5 linked regions of the Danio rerio genome follow. The protein of the gene in region 3 interacts with the protein of the main gene of each other region in a pairwise test. Links are inferred from orthologs where the notes say so. Each region holds a gene or a part of one and is shown on either strand. Other genes may lie near its edges.

What was found.
Region 1: the proteins of rad54b (region 3) and sumo1 interact in a two-hybrid assay, tested with the Homo sapiens proteins (2 studies listed by BioGRID and IntAct). The two-hybrid records come from large-scale screens. The link is inferred for Danio rerio from reciprocal best matches to the Homo sapiens genes RAD54B and SUMO1.
Region 2: the proteins of rad54b (region 3) and atpaf2 interact in a two-hybrid assay, tested with the Homo sapiens proteins (2 studies listed by BioGRID). The two-hybrid records come from large-scale screens. The link is inferred for Danio rerio from reciprocal best matches to the Homo sapiens genes RAD54B and ATPAF2.
Region 4: the proteins of rad54b (region 3) and tceanc interact in a two-hybrid assay, tested with the Homo sapiens proteins (2 studies listed by BioGRID). The two-hybrid records come from large-scale screens. The link is inferred for Danio rerio from reciprocal best matches to the Homo sapiens genes RAD54B and TCEANC.
Region 5: the proteins of rad54b (region 3) and ribc2 interact in a two-hybrid assay, tested with the Homo sapiens proteins (2 studies listed by BioGRID and IntAct). The two-hybrid records come from large-scale screens. The link is inferred for Danio rerio from reciprocal best matches to the Homo sapiens genes RAD54B and RIBC2.

The regions. Positions count from the first base shown.
Region 1 is NC_133181.1:10,603,147-10,607,434, reverse strand, and holds the start of sumo1 (small ubiquitin-related modifier 1), read right to left. Parts: upstream 2,821-4,288; 5' UTR 2,719-2,820; coding exon 2,707-2,718; intron 1,941-2,706; coding exon 1,869-1,940; intron 1,727-1,868; coding exon 1,649-1,726; intron 1-1,648. UniProt on the Homo sapiens protein: Ubiquitin-like protein that can be covalently attached to proteins as a monomer or a lysine-linked polymer.
Region 2 is NC_133187.1:20,034,772-20,038,748, reverse strand, and holds the start of atpaf2 (ATP synthase mitochondrial F1 complex assembly factor 2), read left to right. Parts: upstream 1-1,161; 5' UTR 1,162-1,405; coding exon 1,406-1,541; intron 1,542-1,621; coding exon 1,622-1,666; intron 1,667-1,777; coding exon 1,778-1,926; intron 1,927-3,867; coding exon 3,868-3,965; intron 3,966-3,977. UniProt on the Homo sapiens protein: Plays a role in the assembly of the F1 component of the mitochondrial ATP synthase (ATPase).
Region 3 is NC_133191.1:29,865,123-29,868,643, forward strand, and holds part of rad54b (DNA repair and recombination protein RAD54B), read left to right. Parts: intron 1-1,849; coding exon 1,850-1,981; intron 1,982-3,521. UniProt on the Homo sapiens protein: Involved in DNA repair and mitotic recombination. May play an active role in recombination processes in concert with other members of the RAD52 epistasis group.
Region 4 is NC_133176.1:39,100,120-39,103,544, forward strand, and holds tceanc (transcription elongation factor A N-terminal and central domain-containing protein), read left to right. Parts: upstream 1-1,283; 5' UTR 1,284-1,528; coding exon 1,529-2,734; 3' UTR 2,735-2,908; downstream 2,909-3,425.
Region 5 is NC_133200.1:17,680,243-17,682,887, reverse strand, and holds the end of ribc2 (RIB43A-like with coiled-coils protein 2), read left to right. Parts: intron 1-1,438; coding exon 1,439-1,605; intron 1,606-1,863; coding exon 1,864-1,942; 3' UTR 1,943-2,134; downstream 2,135-2,645. UniProt on the Homo sapiens protein: Microtubule inner protein (MIP) part of the dynein-decorated doublet microtubules (DMTs) in cilia axoneme, which is required for motile cilia beating.

The sequences.
Region 1 (4,288 bases), on a different chromosome or scaffold from region 3:
GAGTTCCAGGCTGTGTTCTATTCTGAATCATCCACCCTATGCCCTTGTCCATTTGAACACAAATACTCTGAATCATTTAAAAACATTAAAGGTTGTCTTGTTCACATTTTATATTAAAGTTATTCTTATTACAGTTCAGTTTATAAACTTCAAATTGACAACTGTGCTATCTCCATAGTGCACTCCCATAACATTTATGCCATTTTAAACGCAGCAGTGACTCGTGAAGAAAGCTACATTTACAATCAAAAACCTGTTTACACACTTCCAGCAACTGTTAAAACAAACATTTAAGGTAATGATTTTAACTTGTATAGAAAATTGATCTCTAATATACTGTAAAAATGCTATGGTCCACACATTTCTTTTACATGGCCCATCATAAATTGATTAAACTTAATTTTTTTTCATAAATTTAAGTGGGCTTAACTTAAAACAATTAAGTTGTCCTCAAGAACACAAGTTTCAGCTAATTATATATAAGTACTTTGAACAAGCCGCAAAAGTCTTTTTTTTTAGTGTATATGATATATGCAACATTTCTGCAGTGGTTTGAGTGTTTATAAAACTGTAATAGTAATTTATTTAAATACAAAAATATACTTTTGTAAAATGTAATTTCTGAAACATGTAACTTTATAAGCAACAGATAAATATAAATATATTTTTTACATCTTTGACCATATACATATATATATATATATATATATATATATATATATATATATTTCAGAATTAGATTGCATGTCATTATATAATGGGTTTATGTTTTATTTATAATAGCAGAGAGTATGATATGGAATATTGTCAATAATATTTGTAAAAGAAAGTAAATACTTGTGTCGTTGCGTTTCATTTAAGAAAGCAGAGATAAAGAAAAGCCGAGGCAAGCAAACTAAATGTTTATTACCAAAACTCATAATGGGTAAAAATATATATATATATCCTGTGTGTAACAATATTTTCTGTACCAAAACTAAAAGCATCTATTAATGTGAATTTCCTCTTAATAAATTGTTACTCCACCCCCTTTAGATGATCATTACAGACGTTTTATGTTTTAACTAACATGGTTCAAATAATTGATCTGAAAGAGAGAATAAACTGTCCAGGGGTCTCATTTATAAACATGGTATACACAAAATTGGGGGTGGAAACACGTGTACGCCACTTCTTATACAGGTTATTATGATCTATAAAAAACAAACTTGACGGGAGAATGTGCGCAGCTTTAAGTAAACACATTTCGCTTAAATATTGACTTAATTCAAGCACTTTAAATCATCATAAAAGCCATAATAATTAATAAATAAATAAAAATGTATTCTGGTGTACATTCACTTTTAGGAAAGTTTCTATGCAATGTTTTATAAATGAGACCTCAGGAACCTTAACTGAAACATACACAACTATTTAAACATTGTTTTTTGTTTCGGCAATGACGCATTAATTTGATCACAGTTAAGATTTTTACAGTGTTAGTGTATTTCTATTTGTAACAATACTCACAATAATACAGATTTTATGCATTTTTGATTGAATAAAAGTAGCATTAGTGCGTTTTTTAAAAATCCTACCCACCCCCCAAAACCTCTGAATGGTAGTGTAGATTTATCGTTATCCCTCATAAATGGAAAAACTGACTCACCTGTCTCTGACTGTAGGATTCCTTCAGCTTCTTTAAATGTGTCGTCATCTTCACTTTAAAGTGAATTTCACTGTTGTCCTGCGAAATGAAAGGAAATCATCAAATCTGTTCAGATCTTTTCATATATCTCATTATAAAAGAACAGCTGGATTGGTTTTAAACAGTAATGGGTTTAAATATGAAAACCTGCATTTCCTAGAAAACAAGTGCTTTTGCTCACCTGACCGATCACTTTGAGTTTAATGTACTCTCCATCCTTCTTCTCGCCTCCATCACTTGAGGGCTTGGTCTCCTATTAAAACAAAACAAGCATTCGATTACTGCATGTCATATTGTTTTTTTATCAGATTTAATGTAATGAATTAAAAAAATATCTTGGGACTGAATTCAATAAAATATTGACTGAAGATCGTATAAAATAAGGTAGATCCGATTTTAATAAATTATAATTATATATATATATATATATATATATATATATATATATATATATATATATATATATATATATTATATATAAAATAATATTGTGAGTGTTGTTATCATTTAAACACTAGGCTGTGTGTGTGTGTGTGTGTGCTTTGAATGTAAACACACAACCTAACGTTACTCTTCTATCGCGAGCTGTTAATACGAGCACAAACCGAACACAAACTAACGTGAACAAATAACGAATAATCCTAATGAACATATCAAAAAATCAACAATTAATAACTAATTCAAATGTTCAGCATGGTCTATCAGCTCAAGATATTATGAACTCTGCTTTCAGGGCCCAGAGCAGCTAACTAGCACACATGCTAATTGGACGATTTGAGGAAGAAATTCACATATTTTTGGCATTTGTGAACACAGTAAATTGGACTAATGTGTAAATTGCGAGAACCAGAAACTATGCACAGTTAAAAACACTCAAGCATTTTTATCAAAAATACTTTCCAAACCACAGTCAGCTAGACAGGCTAAAAGCTGGGCCCTCTTATTTTCATTTTCTATAAGTCCGTCTTTCTCGTCTGCTCTCATGAAAGTTCGATTCAGCATCACAGGTTTAGACTCACCGTGTCTGACATGATATTCCGCAATGTGCAGCCCTTCTGTAGATCAAGATTGTTTGATTTAAACGATACAGTGTTATGTACAGTAATGAGAGGTTTTGATAGTGCTACCAGCAGACCCACAACACAGCGCCGTTGACGTCATTGGAAAGGGGCTGGACTTTCTATGACACTGGGTCGATGACCCAACGAGCGTTGTTTTTCTCACCACGCTCTTTCTGATTGGCTCCAATCGCCATCTGCGATGTTGCTATTGGTAAAACATAGGGAGGCCCGTATTTTGCAAAAAAAAAAAAAAAAAAAACACATCAGTATTTTGGTCACGAAATATTAGAGTGCAAAAATAATGTGACAACTACACTACACCTCTGGAGGACGAAACCTGCAAAAGCAACAAATAAATAAATACGCAAATAAATAAATTAATTAACACATGTACAAATTCCTTCATAAATAAAACAGTAAATAAATACGCAAATAAATAAATAAATAAATGACTAAATATATACACAAGTTCCTACATAAATAAAATAATTAATAAATAACTACACGAATAAATGAATAAATACTCAAATCCCTGTGTAAATAAAACAATAAATAAATAAATACACAAAAAATAAATAAATACAAATTCTTGCATAAATAAAACAATAAATAAATAAATACACAAATAAATTAATAAATAAATAGACAAATTCCTGCATAAATAAAACAATAAATAAACATGCTAAATAAATAAACAAATGTACAAAATAAATACACAAATTAAAAAGATAAAAAATAAAAAGCAATGAATAAATAAAGTAAATAAATAAAGCAATAAATAAATAAAACAATAAATTAATATGCAAATAAAAAATCAATTAGTTAATAAATTCGCAAATTCCTGCATAAATAAAACAATAAATCGTTTATTTTATGTATTTATAACTTTTAATGCCATAGATTTTAAAAAAGACATTAAGACTAATTCAGTGGATCAAAGGTAATATAAAAAATCTGTATAATGTTACTGAACATTTTATTTCAAATACAGTTTCTTCTGAGAATTTTAGAAAGCTGAATGTATTGTGTATTTAACAGAAATATCAAGCAGAATTATTATTAATCATAGAGCACCAAGTAAAATTGACCATAACAAATTCTGAACTCTCATTGGAATATTAAACATATTTACATACAACAATACAGATATTTAAAATTGAAATAATATTTCATATTATAATTGTTTATTCATCTTTTTGTCTAAAACATTTAAATATCTTTTTTTTTTACAAAACTTTTGTTTAGTATATTATTATTATCATCATCATCATCATCATCATCATCATCATCATCATCATCATCATCATCATCATCATCCTCATTATTTGGAATATGACATTATCCAAAATATTGTCTCTACACACTTTGAATATAAAACTCGAAAACTGAAAATCAACACGAGGTGATGGTGCATGAAAATGAGGCTGAGACTACTGCACATGCGCACATTTCACTGGCAGTATTGCGCATGCTCGTCCTGTCCCATGTGCGCCTCGTGGAGAGAGCGACTTCTTGTAGCGGAAGGCTCTCGGTCTCGGGA
Region 2 (3,977 bases), on a different chromosome or scaffold from region 3:
AGAGGACAATCAAACAAATCAGAAACACAACCAAAAGAGGGCGCTATGCTGTTCCTTAGATCAGTTCTGGTGCATTACCCTACTGCTGCCCCATCAACTCATGTGTGTCCCTGGAGGGTTTTTGTATACTTGAAATTAATGATTTTTATTTTATGTATTATTTTTCTTTTTATTTGATTTATTTATTTCTCTCTCTTTCTCTAGAATATATAAAATAAATTAAATAAGCAGAACAAACTGATAATAAACATGAAGATTTTAAAACAAGATATTATTTAATTCTTTTTGCATTTGTCTTGTACATAGTAGATAAATAATTAGGTAATAACTAAGTGTAATGTAAATGTCTGCTCTATAAATTGTGTAATTTTTTCCATGTTTTAACAAACCAACAAATTAATGAAAGAAAGAAAGAAAAAAACATATAAGATAGAGATAATAAAACTGAAGCAAAAGAAAGGTGAATAAACCAGTTTATAGTAGCAACATATAAATATTCACTAATATATTCATTTAAATATTCCAAAAAATGTATTTAAGAATAACATTTTTAACAAATATTTTAAGTTATTTAAAGCTATGTTAATTTTTAATATTTAGAGCAGGACTTTCCCGCCCAACTTTTAGATGCCACAAACATTTTAATATCATTGCCCCCACATTAAAACATAAACATTTTTGTTAAAAAAAATTAAGGAAGTTACCTGAAGTTAATGTTTTGAAAACTGAAATTTTTTATTATTATATTCTTATTTGTTTTATTTTATTTTGATATATAATTTATTGTTTTATTTTATTTAAATAAAATATAATAATGTATTGTATGCTATTAAATATTTAATAATCGTTTAATTATTATGCTGTTTTATCAATTTGTTTCTGTTTCTCTTTTATTTTGTATTATAATGTGTGCTTATTATTTAAAAACTATATAGAATTATTTTAATCTTTTTAATTATTCAATTGCTATTTTTAATTATTAAAATCAAAATATTTTAATAGGTATATCACTCTCTTTTGTCCCTGGTAACCCATTCTGAAAGTTTGGCGCTAAATGAATGTTCGAAATGTTGGACTTTTCTCATAGATATTTATATAGCTATGGACTTTTATTATGAATTATCCTCTATGCTTTTTCCTGTTTAGGTCATCGTCAGTCCACTTTACGGCACGCTGTTTTCACTTTGCTGCATGCCTTTAAATACCTTCTAGTGTATTTGCTTGAATAATTGAGTTTATCTCAGATATACTCATTTCTTGTAATTTATACGATTAAAACATGAAAAATGCATTGTCAAATTTAATATAACACCATATCCGGCTTTTTAACCTTGACTGAATGGCTTATCACGCCTAAACTGTGGCATCAATACAAATACAAATTTACACACATAACGTTTAAAATATGCTACGAAATATATGTCGGTATCACACAAAGTTTGGCCAGGCAATTATTTGGCCGTTTTCATTTTCTTACGTGAAGCATGTTCCCAGTTTATCAACACAGCTACAAAAGGCAAAATATAGCAGTGCTACAGCAGGTAAGATATAAAAAGAAAAAAATAACTTAAAATGATAAACAAATATATTAATATCTTTGTACTTGCATTGTGTTTTGCAGAGAGGAAAAAGTTCTACGAGACTGTATCTATAACTCAAGGTGAAGGTGAGCATCATTCAGTACTGATGGCCATAACAGCACCTTAAAAGAAACATGTTTTCAATGATGAAGATCGAGGGTTTGCTCATATGAAAACACAGATTTTCTTGTTTATAGGTGGCTTGTTTGAAATAAACCTTGATAAGAGAAAGCTGAAGACCCCAAGTGGAAAACTATTCACAGTTCCCAATGAAGCTCTTGCCATTGCTGTTGCAAATGAGTGGGACGTTCAAAAGGACACATTGAAGTTTTACACTATGCACTTGGTAGGATATTATTTTTAATTTATATTATATTATTATTATTATACTATATTTTGGTTTCCCAAGTACTACTAGTATATTTGAAAGTTTTATTCTACAACTGTCTACAGAGTACATTCAAATGTATCTATAATACATACATAGTAGCATGGAACACATATTTTTATACACTCTTCAGAACTGAAACTTACAGTATTACAAGTCTACAAGACTAGTACCTTTATTTATACCCAAAATCTGTACTTTTTTGGTGTTTTTTCTTTTTAATTTTCTGCTGCAGACGATTCCATTCAAGAACCCCCTAAAAAGTACAGATTTTAGGTATAAATAAAACTGAAAGCTTAGTTTTTTTTTAAATTCTATTTTAATCATTTAAAAATTCTATTCAGTTAAAGGGGTAGTTCAGCCAAAAATTATAATTTGGTCAACAACAATACTCTGGGACTTTCTTTCATCTTTGGAACACAGATTAAGATATTTTAGATGGAATCTGAGAGCTCACTCACCCTTCATATAGACAGCAATGTACTTTTGTGCACACTTAAAGAAAAAATACTTACTTCATTCAGCGGTTTATCACCTCATTAGTAGGCCCACACGGAATATGCGTGTACAGAAATCTGCAGATTTCCGCAGATCTTTAGCCCATCATTCGGTGTATTTACTGTATTCACTTGTTTAATTGTGTGTGAATTTATATTTATTTAGTTTTTTTTTTTTTATTAATTTCACTAATATTATTGTGTTATAATAATAGTACTATTAAAATGTTCATATGATTTATTAACAATACAGTTAGTAATGTAATATTTTCTGTCTTTTTGTAGGTATATGATGTATTGCTTTCTTTACCAAATAGGTGGATGCAATTGGATTTGCACTGTAAACATTAAATAAAATTAAAAAATGTGTTGTTTTTTATTTAATATATTAATGCTGTAGTTATGATACTCCTAAAATCAATCTCTGCAGAAATTGCAAAAAATGTCTGCATATTGTGTCTTTTCCTATTCATTCATCTATGTTTCCATCCACCTATTTTTATGGTAATTTTGCAATATGCGCATAGAAAACCGGTTGATGAAAACGCCAAGATGCACATTTCATTTTGAAAAAGCTTAATGTGACTTTTCATTTTCATAAGGTTCCTTTTACAGCATCGATGTTTTACACTATCGATGCATTGATGACAAAACATTCAGTTAAATAGATACAAGCATTCATTTAGTTGTTCAACCATAAAACAAGATGAAAGATTGTGTAACCGCTAGCGCCATCAGGATCAGCAGGCGAGCGCAGAAACTCCTATACTGGGGTGAAATTAATTGTTATATTTTAAAGATATGACGGGGGAATAGAATTTAACGCAGTGCTTTTTGTCTGAGACTCATATATCTATATCTATCAGGCAGTGAAGGTCACTGATTAAAAAACAAACAAAAAAACTGACCTCAAACATGGCAACTTTATAATGGAAAGACGGAGGCCCTGTTAGGCTGAAATTAAAAGATTGTGTGCATATACCCCATTCTAAATAGTTATCGGTTATTGTTGTCGGTCAAAAATTCCAAATCGGTTCCACCCTATTAATAACATAATTTTCATTTTGGGGTGAACTGACCTTTTATGTAGTTAAAGATATTTGCATTTGCTCCTAGTTTTTTTTATTTATTTATCTATTTTTTATATGTTATTATTTGCATGTGTCTTTTTTCTTCACCTGGTTGTCATTTTAGATGAGAATTGGTTCTCTTAATTGATTTACCTGGTTAAATAAAGATATTTATTATTAAATACTAATGGATAATGTATCTAAAACATTGTCACAAGTACATATAAAATCAGTGTGTGTATATTCTGATAGTACATTCATTCCCAGTATTCCCAACATTCATAATGTTAAATGAATAGCAGAATCTAATAGACTGATTTCTGTCCCTACAGACCACCCTTTGTAACACTGCTCTTGATAATCCAACACAAAGGACAAAAGAACAGATGATCTCTGCCGCTCTGAAGTTTTTAGAAACAGACACTATCTGGTATGCTCACTG
Region 3 (3,521 bases):
GAAGCTATAGAAATTATGCATGTAAAACAGGAAATCCGTTGGGACCATTGTTATTGTTTACATCCCTCAAAATGGTCTATCGGCCCAAGTCTATTCATTGTTTAATTTTGGAGAAGGCCACTCGGAGGCCATCCTCCATGTTCAGTTGTGGCCTGTTTTTATTTTTAATCGATGTGAGTGCTGTAGAGGTTTCAATATACATATTATATAATGTAATCACCCCAGAGGGCACAAAAAAAAATGTGAAAGACTGATGACTATTTATCTGCAAGTTGTTTTTAATGTATATTCTTAACATGTTAACAGTGTTACTATTAATTTTGTTCTTTTGTAGCTTATAGATGAAGTATGGTACTTCTAATAGTTTAATAAAATGAATTAGATTTTTGGAAATCGCCAAGTGACCCCTCCTCTTTGTCCCAACCCCAACTTTGGGAACCACTGCCTTAGATTAACAATTGAGCTTTCAATCACAATTTTAAAGAACTGTTCAAATTTACCATATTTATGTCTATTATTAATGAAGCATGTGTATGTGTCTGTTTTAGGCTTCAGTTCAAAAGAAACTCTCCTGTAGAACAGCCGGGCAGCAGTCTGTCCATCCCAGCGCTGTCCGACTATCCTCCAGTCACAGCTGTTCGAGTGGAGACTGAGGATGTGAAACCGCCTCCGGATATCCACCTGATTACATCCCACGGGTCACCCATCACCATCGCCACCCCGAGCAGCCAAGCCCACCATGGCCAAAATGAAAGGGACAGTGAAGTAGTGGAAGACGAGGTAGACGAGGAGGAAGAGGAATTGGCCTCCCATGTTTATGCTGCCTCTCTTTCTCCATGCCCATCCTCTGTACACCTGCCACCGTCGCCGCTGGCACACGGGCCCAGAAGGAGCGCCTATCACACGGCGAGGACAGCATTCAAGGATCCTGCGTTTGAGGCAGAGGCTTTGCAGATGATGCGAGAGGAGCACGAGTTGCTTCTGGCCAATCATAGGAAGCTTGGTTTATATATAGAGGAGAAGAGGGAGGGGCTTAAGAGAAAGCAGCAGCTGGAGGAGGAGCTACTCCGGTCAAGAGTTAAAGTGGAGAAACTGAGAGCTGCCAGGCTGCGGCAAGGATTGCCATTGATGTGATTTTGTACACTGTCTCACTTTTGAAAGTACGTCAAAAAGGGAGCCATAAAATGTTAATTTAAAATGCTGTTTGTACAGTTGTTTCTTGTTTGTACAGTTTTTTTTTATTCAGTATGAGGATTGTTTGTGATATTTGTAGCAGAATTGTATGTTTTTAATGTGTGGATGAGAGAATTCAATTGGATTTTGTATGTGTTTGATAATAAATTCATAAATGCTTTAATCTCTGTGGTTTGAGATGGGCTTTTATTCTTTGGTTGTTACGTAGCAACAGCAATGAATGAGAGTCTTCTAAATCAAACAGTTTGTGTTAGCTTCATTTGAATGCTTATTCACAGCATAATAGGTAATATTACTACTGTATTTTCCTCTTTTGTTATTAGGTTTGTCAGACTTACAGTAAATAGCTTCTAAGCTGAGACCAACTGTCGGGCAAGACTAAATTAGTCCATTAGGAATTGGATTTGATTACTGTTGGATTTGTTTAATTAATAATTTTGAGGGCACATTAATTTAAAAATTGTATATATGATTAAGTTGTGACCTATGTAACAGTTTTGATCTCATTTAAACATGCCTGATCAGTTTATACAGTATATAGGCACATTTCTAGTTTATGAATATAATAACTGCACAGTAACTAAGCATTATGTTTGATTTAGGCTATTATTATGTTGTGTTATCGCTGCTGATTCATTATCTGTTTATTTTAAAGCTCACTACTATAGTGTTATATGGTGCAAGGCCTCTTCAAGGAAGCATAAGCGCTGGGAAGGTGATGCTGTGCTTGTTGCCAGAGGGCGAACGGTTGTCCTTAAAGACATGGAGGGCCGGGACATTGGACGAGGTTAGATAATCAAAGCACATTCGAGCAGCACATTCAGATTTGTACATAAACACGTATTTAAGGATTAAATGAGTTGACATTGTATACTAGTGTGTGGGATGCAAATTTCCCTGTTTCTTTCATCTAATAATTTTAGTGGATCATTAAAAAAGAAACAGAACTGTTTAATGTAAATATTGGCAAATCCCTGAATATTAGTTTTTCTCACTGAACAATGTTTTGATAGCTAAAGTGCAAAGAATTCATAAAAAGTTTCAATTCCATTTTTATCTGCTGTCATTTTATTGTTTGTGAATTACATTTTGAGTTGTTATACTTTAACCTTACATTTGAGACAATATTCATCAGTCTGTTTAGGGTGCAACAGGGCACAAACATGACTGTTTAGCACGTACTTTAGTAATATATGGATACAGCAGGGGAAAAAAAAACAAAATAGCTTTTTTATTTAACAGTGATTTACTTGGCTCTGTATTTTAATTAACTAAACTGTAATAATTTTTTTATCAGCTAATTTTGTTATTTTTTTATTGTTTAATTTATTATTTATAGGTCATTGTAGTCTCTACAAGACTACAATAAACAAAATCCAAAACTATTGCAGTTTAAATTTAATATGTCATAATCAACATGCAAATAAAACAGTGAATGCAAACATATATTGTGCGTATTGTGCATCAACATATTAATCTATTTTAAATTAGTTGATGAAATATAGCATTCAGTGCTTTTTAAAATCATGACAGTTTTATTTAATCATTAAAGTTCTTTTAAAACAAAAGTAATATGTAGGCTAATTCAGTGCATACATTTACGGAAATGATCTTCTTTACAGTTGATTTTTCTAACAAACCAGCTGCTGACATAGAACGACTTGTCTGTGTTAAAAGTAATACTATATGCCATTATAGGTTTTATTTACGCATCAAAAGAAACCGCATAGGCTAATAGGTTGATCAAGAATTATAAAAATCGTGGTTTCATATTTAGTTTCGGAGTGGTTATAACAGTAGTGTTTTCATCTAGTAGCCATGCATACCGATTCAAAAGACTTTAGCTGGGAAAATAAGCATTGAACACAATTTTACAAAAGAATTGATCATAATTTTTACCCAAAAAAATATTTCTAAACATAGGGTTGACTTGAATTAAATTGTGATGTTGGTAGCGACCAAAGAAATCCATATATGCAAATAAAACAAATCTACTTTTCAAATTACAAATCAAAAAACAAATCTAGTTTACAAATTAAGTTATGCAAAACAAAATAAAATGACGCAGGGAAAAAGTACTGAACACATGAATAAAGGGAGCTGTAGAAATGCAGTGAAAGTCCAGCCAGCAGCTGAAATAACTCAGTATTTTTCAGCAATTTTCTGCCCTTCATCATTGTAAATGAATATTAGCTGCTTCAGTCTAACAACTATATTAGGACAATGAAGATTAAACCAGGATAAACATTTCAGCAAATCAATGATCCAAAGCACAGCCAAGGAAACTCTCAAATGCTTTCAGAAAAACAAAATAAAGCTGGTTGAAT
Region 4 (3,425 bases), on a different chromosome or scaffold from region 3:
TTATTTATTTATTCATTCATTCATTTATTTATTTATTTATGGTGTATTGTTATTATTAATGTGAATGAAAAGATTGTGAATGAAAAGATTGTGAATGCAAATTGATTGTCATCTCAGTCTTTTTGTGTAAATTAAAAAAAAAAAAAGTATTAAAGCTTTTCTGTTATTGTTTAAGCATTGTTAATTAAAAAGAAAAAGAAAAAAGTATCTAGCAAGACAGGACATTCTTATTGAAATATTCCAGACTCTGTACAGAATATATCACTTGGGAGTTAAAGTATAAAGTATGAAATAGTGTGCGAGTTGGCAAAGAAAGCACTAAAGTATACTCTCTAAAATGTTAATGTCCCATTGGGCAAATCTGAAATGTAGGGTTTAATTAAAGTCAGTAAAAAAAAGATGGCGACAGACATGGACTCAGGAAGAAAGGGGAAGACAATTGTATCAAATAATGAGGTAAGTTGGGTATGACAGGTTTGTGACAAAAGAAGGGATGACAATCTCATGCCTCCGAATTGGGCTCACTGCATTAAACCAATCACTGTTTGAAATTGGCAAACACGATACAGGTATGTGGAGTATATGTGGAAATCCAAAATTAGTTGAGCGTGTTATTTTAATTGTCATAGTTATAATGAGGAAAGATCTCAGCTTATGGAGGAAATGAAGAATGCAGGAAGTTTAAATCTAACACTAAAGAAGTAATAAATTGAATAACTAAATAAATAAACGGGCAACTCGGTGGCGCAGCGGGTAGCACAGTCGCCTCCTTGCAAGAAGGTCACTGGTTTGAGTCCCAGTTCGAGTCCGTTGGCATTTCTGTGTGGAGTTTTCATGTATTTCCTGTGTTGGCGTGGGTTTCCTCCGAGTGCTTCAGTTTTGTCCCACAGAAAAAGACATGCACTTGGTGTATAAGCTATGAGGTGTATAGGTGCTGTATTAGCTGTGTAAAACATATATTGGATAAGTTGGCAGTTCATTCTGCTGTGTCAAGCCCAGATGAATAATAGGACTAAGCTGAAGGAAAATTAGTGAATGAATTAATAAATTTAATAACTAAAGATGTTAATTTAATAAAAACTAAAGTATACCTAAAGTATCTTAAAAGACATTGTTACTTAGACAAGTTTAATTTATGTATTTGATTAAATAGCTTACCATTTTCTTTTCCCCCCATTTCTTTGCTTTGGTCTATTTCTGTATTCCTTTCTATATCAACCCCTCACCCTCCTCCCCACTAGGTGGCGGAAATTCAGTAAAGCTGCCAAAGTTTGCAAGAAGAAGAAGAAGAACAACAACAACAACTGCATTGCGTTGATGAAATACATGGCTGTAGAAGTAGCGACTTTGTAAAAAATGTTTTACTGCTTAGTTAATAAAGAAGATACGTGTTTGTCTGCAATTCAGATAACGTTAGCGGACATATTTTTATTACGCTTGAAAACTAAGCTAACGCTTCGGATTCTTCAAGAACAGTATTTTCCAGGTGTAACGCTACTCCTTAATTTTCCTTAATTTCGAAGACGTCATGCATACTAGAGAGATCATATATTATGCTACACAAATCGAAAGGTTGCACGAGGACGGCAGTTATGAAGATGTTATATCATTACTGACTGAACTCGACATCACTTCTGTCACGTTAGAGCAGATTCAGACAACAGATATTGTAAAAGTTCTTTACAGACTGCTTAAGTCCTGTCCTGTTTTGAGTGCTAAAACAAAAGCAAAAAGCTTGCTGACAAAATGGAAGAAGTTGTACAATTTGTCACATGCAATATTACTCAAAAATAATGACAAAAACACACGGGAGGACAAGGAATTAGAGACGCCAAACAGAGAGTCAGAGACGCATAACATGTCTAATGTTGAGTTACCATTGGGATTTCCATTTTTAACCAATGGATTTCAGCCCTTACATGAAAAAGTGAACGAGAGTCAAGCATGTAACACAAAGCAGCTTGATATAACAAAGGATGCAAACCAGGGAAAATGTAATAATGTATGCTTTAATGCATCTTCTAAAAAACTTTGTATAGCAACTGAATCTGCAGAATCTCTCCAGCCACAGCTTGAGCAAGAGAGCCTCACTCCAGCCGTGGAATCAAATAGATCTGATGCAGAGGAAGGTGCTCAAACCTCAGTTCCTCAAAACACAAATCAGCACACAACTAACTGTGACTCTACAGCACTGAGATCCAAATGTGTCCATCTGATTCTTCAGGCTCTTGGCACAAACCAACAAACAGACCCAGGTCATATGAACAAGCTCAAAGCCCTTGCTGAGAACATTGAGTTGCATGTTCATGCTCTTCATGGACGAAACCAGCATAAGTTCAAGTTTCATATTAGGAGCAAGGTTGCCAACCTAAAGAACCCAAACAACCCCCACCTACGCCAAGGCCTTATTTCAGGACAACTGACTCCAGATGCATTTGCCCAGATGTCTGTAGAGGAAATGGCAGGTGAGAAACTTCGACAGCTCAGAGAAACTTACACTAATTTGGCCATCAGTGAGCATCAGTTGCCAGAAACAGTTGAAGGCACCCCTACCAATAAAGTTCGCTGCAGGCAATGTGACAGTATGGATTGCAGGGTGACTCAAATCTCACGAGGGACTCTTTTCTTGCCATCCTGGGTGCAGAGTGGCAGTGCAGATAATGATTCTATGACTTTTATGACCTGTGCTAATTGTGGAGAACAGTGGTACCACAGTAATTGGGTTTGCCTTTGAGCAAGTGCGTAAAGATAGCAACATTGTTCTGTATTATTTGATCTGTACTATTGAAGTTTTTGTTCACAATGATGTTAAGATTGTCAATTATGTAGTCTTCAATTTGGTGCAGTGAACCGTATAATGCGCATTCATGTCTGTTTTGGAAGAGATGAATACACCAAGAATAATAAATATAATCTCTAAAAACTGGTTTTAGATGCATGTAACCATTAAAAAGGTAATTAATGTCTGTTTTAATCTAAGTATCAGTATGGCTAGACACACTTTTTTATGTTGACTTTAGATGTTTTATTTGTCCTCCAAAAACTTATGTAAAGTATATATTTAGATTATTTTCCATAAGTCACTGTTAAGTCTGTAAATATGGAAACGAATAACTATTGAACTGCTGTAAACATACATTTATAATTTATTATTATAATACGTATTTACTGGTTTTTAAACTTTTTTTCTTAAACTCTTCTCACATCAAATTGTTTTGTACATTACACGTCATCTATTTGTTGCAGTTTTTTTTTTTTTTTTTTTTACTAAAACAAGCTTCCCACACTTTTAGAAGGTACTTAAAAACAAACAGGTCCTTAAGGTTTGTGAATTAAATTTTAAATGAAATTCGATTATGCTGTTATTTCCACAATTGTAAAAACAATTGTAAAAAAGAGGTAAATTCTTAATTAGTATCGAATTC
Region 5 (2,645 bases), on a different chromosome or scaffold from region 3:
GGGTAGAGGTAGGGGTTTCCCAATTCTCCTTAGTTTGAGGGTGTCGGGCTAAAGGGAAGAGCTGGAGATTTTAAAGGACCACACTAGAAACCAAGAATACACCAACTACATACAGCTGAAGTCATAATTATTAGCCCCCCTGTTTATTTTTTTTTCCCAATTTCTGTTTAAAGGAGAGATTTTTTTCAACACATTATAAAAAATAATAGTTTTAATAACTCATTTCTAATAACTGATTTATTTTATCTTGCCATGATGACAGTAAATAACATTTGACTAGATATTTTTCAAGATACTTTTATACAACTTAAAGTGACATTTAAAGGCTTAACTAGGTTAATTGGGTTAACTAGGCAGGTTAGGGTAATTAGGCAAGTCATTGTATAACGATGGTTTGTTCTGTTGACTATTGAAAATAATTAAGCTTAAAATGGCTAATAATTTTGTCCTTAAAATGCTGTTTGAAAAATTAATAACTGCTTGTATTTTAGCCGAAATAAAACATATAAGACTTTCTCCAGAAGAAAAAAAAAATATTATCAGACATACTGTGAATTTTTCTTTGCCCTGTTAAACATAATTTGGGAAATATTTAAAAAAAGAAAAAAATTAAAATGGGGAGGGCTAATAATTCTGACTTCAACTGTATATAGAATATAGAATAAGGGCTAAGGCGTAGAATTAGTATTGGGCCTTCCTATGTATACGGGACTCTTATTTTGAAAACTGGATAGGATTTAGGGAAGAGTAAGCAGCTTCATGCATGGCCACGGAGCACATGGAGTGGAATATACAAATTATAATATGTTAAATTATTCCCCAAAGAGGTGTAAAATATGTTTAAATGTATATTTGTTAGTTTAACGTGTATATTGTGAAACTCCTTGCAAATGGTCGAAATGAGGCAACAAACACATGTTGACCACAGAGTATAAATGTTTAAAGCATGTTTATGTCATATCCCTCAGCTCTTCATGAGGGATTCAGTCATTTTTCTGAAGTTAAAAGTGATGCAGATTAAAGGATCTGAAAAATAACCTGTTAATGCAGATGTTGATATTAATTCCTGCCTGTGTTTTTATATATGTTATGTTAAATACATCTCTGTAGGACCCATTTGTGATGTATAATTAAAACTTATCCTATATTTTATCCACAACACAACTCAGGGGAAAACTAGGTTAACTAGCTGTGTAAAAGCTAAAATAAACCTCTCCACCACTTAAGTTGAATATATTGTAACTTAACAAGTAATCTACACATTTTTTTTTAAATATTTTGACTAAAGAAGTATGACTATTTTGCACATGTGTATTACAAAGTACATCACACTTTATGCTGTTCCAAAACTTTTTTTTACTCCATTATCTCCATTATCCATTTTTACTCCAGTAATTCAGATACATTTAAATGTTAAAAGTCGAATAAATCTGTGCAGCGAGCCAACATGGAACAACGACAGAAGGATCTTCAGGAACATCAGGAACGCATGAGCTCAGCTCGTGCTGCATTGCTGCTGGAAAGACAACAAGCACGCATTAATAAGGAGCTGCGCAGAGCAATGGACAATTCCAACTCACAGCTGGCTCATATCCATGATGCTCGGTGGGTTAAATTGATTTTGGTTGACTAATATATATTAAGTAAAAAAATATATATATACAAATAAATATACAAATAAATATACAAATATATATATATATATATATATATATATATATATATATATATATATATATATATATATATATATATATTTTTTTTTTTTTTTTTTCTAGATTTTTAAAAATTACCAAAATACTGTAATTAGTTTTGTGAATGTTATTTCTGTTTATCATTGTGTAACACTGTTTCCATTCACAGGAAGAAACATCTTCAGGATGTGTACACCAACATTCCAGACGAGCGCTATTATTCCCAATTTAACACCAGCAGTAGATAAATGTTTCAGAAGAGATGATGAATCATTTTACTTGCAACACCGTAAAGTGTTCTGGCTGGGCAAGCTTTGGGAGAAACAATTATTATTTGATCACAGTGAAGATAACATTATGTGGACTATTACTGTTGGTTTTTGTGTGTAAAAAAAGTGATATTTCTGTCCTGTTTGAGCAATAAATGAAAATTGAGCAGCAAAAGTTCACAGGTCCTGTTGATAGATTTTATTTAATCCCAGAAGGAGTAATACCCTGCTGAAATTCAGCAAGGGATGTAATATCTGGCAAATAATTGCAAGATATATCCTATATGAAATACACTATATTAATTTACAGTTTATACTACAATTAAGTGCATTTATACTGTGGATATTATAGTATTTACAACATTTTCTAATAAATGCTACAGATAAACTGTATTAAATGCTGCAGCATACCTTATTTTTTACTGCAGTAAATCTGTATAGTAATATAATATTGATAGCTTGAAAAAACCTAACTAATATAGTTGTTGTATTACCATGCTAACTATAGAATTGGCAACAAATAAATTATGTTATTTTGCTATAGTATGGTTGAAAAACACCATAGTGTTTTCTATAAATGACTGTAGAATTTTTTCAGGCTGGTTATCACGCTGTTCTCAGAAAATTAACTTAAGCTGGAGGAGTTTAAGCATAAATGTGTTTTGTTGTTTAAAGGGCCATG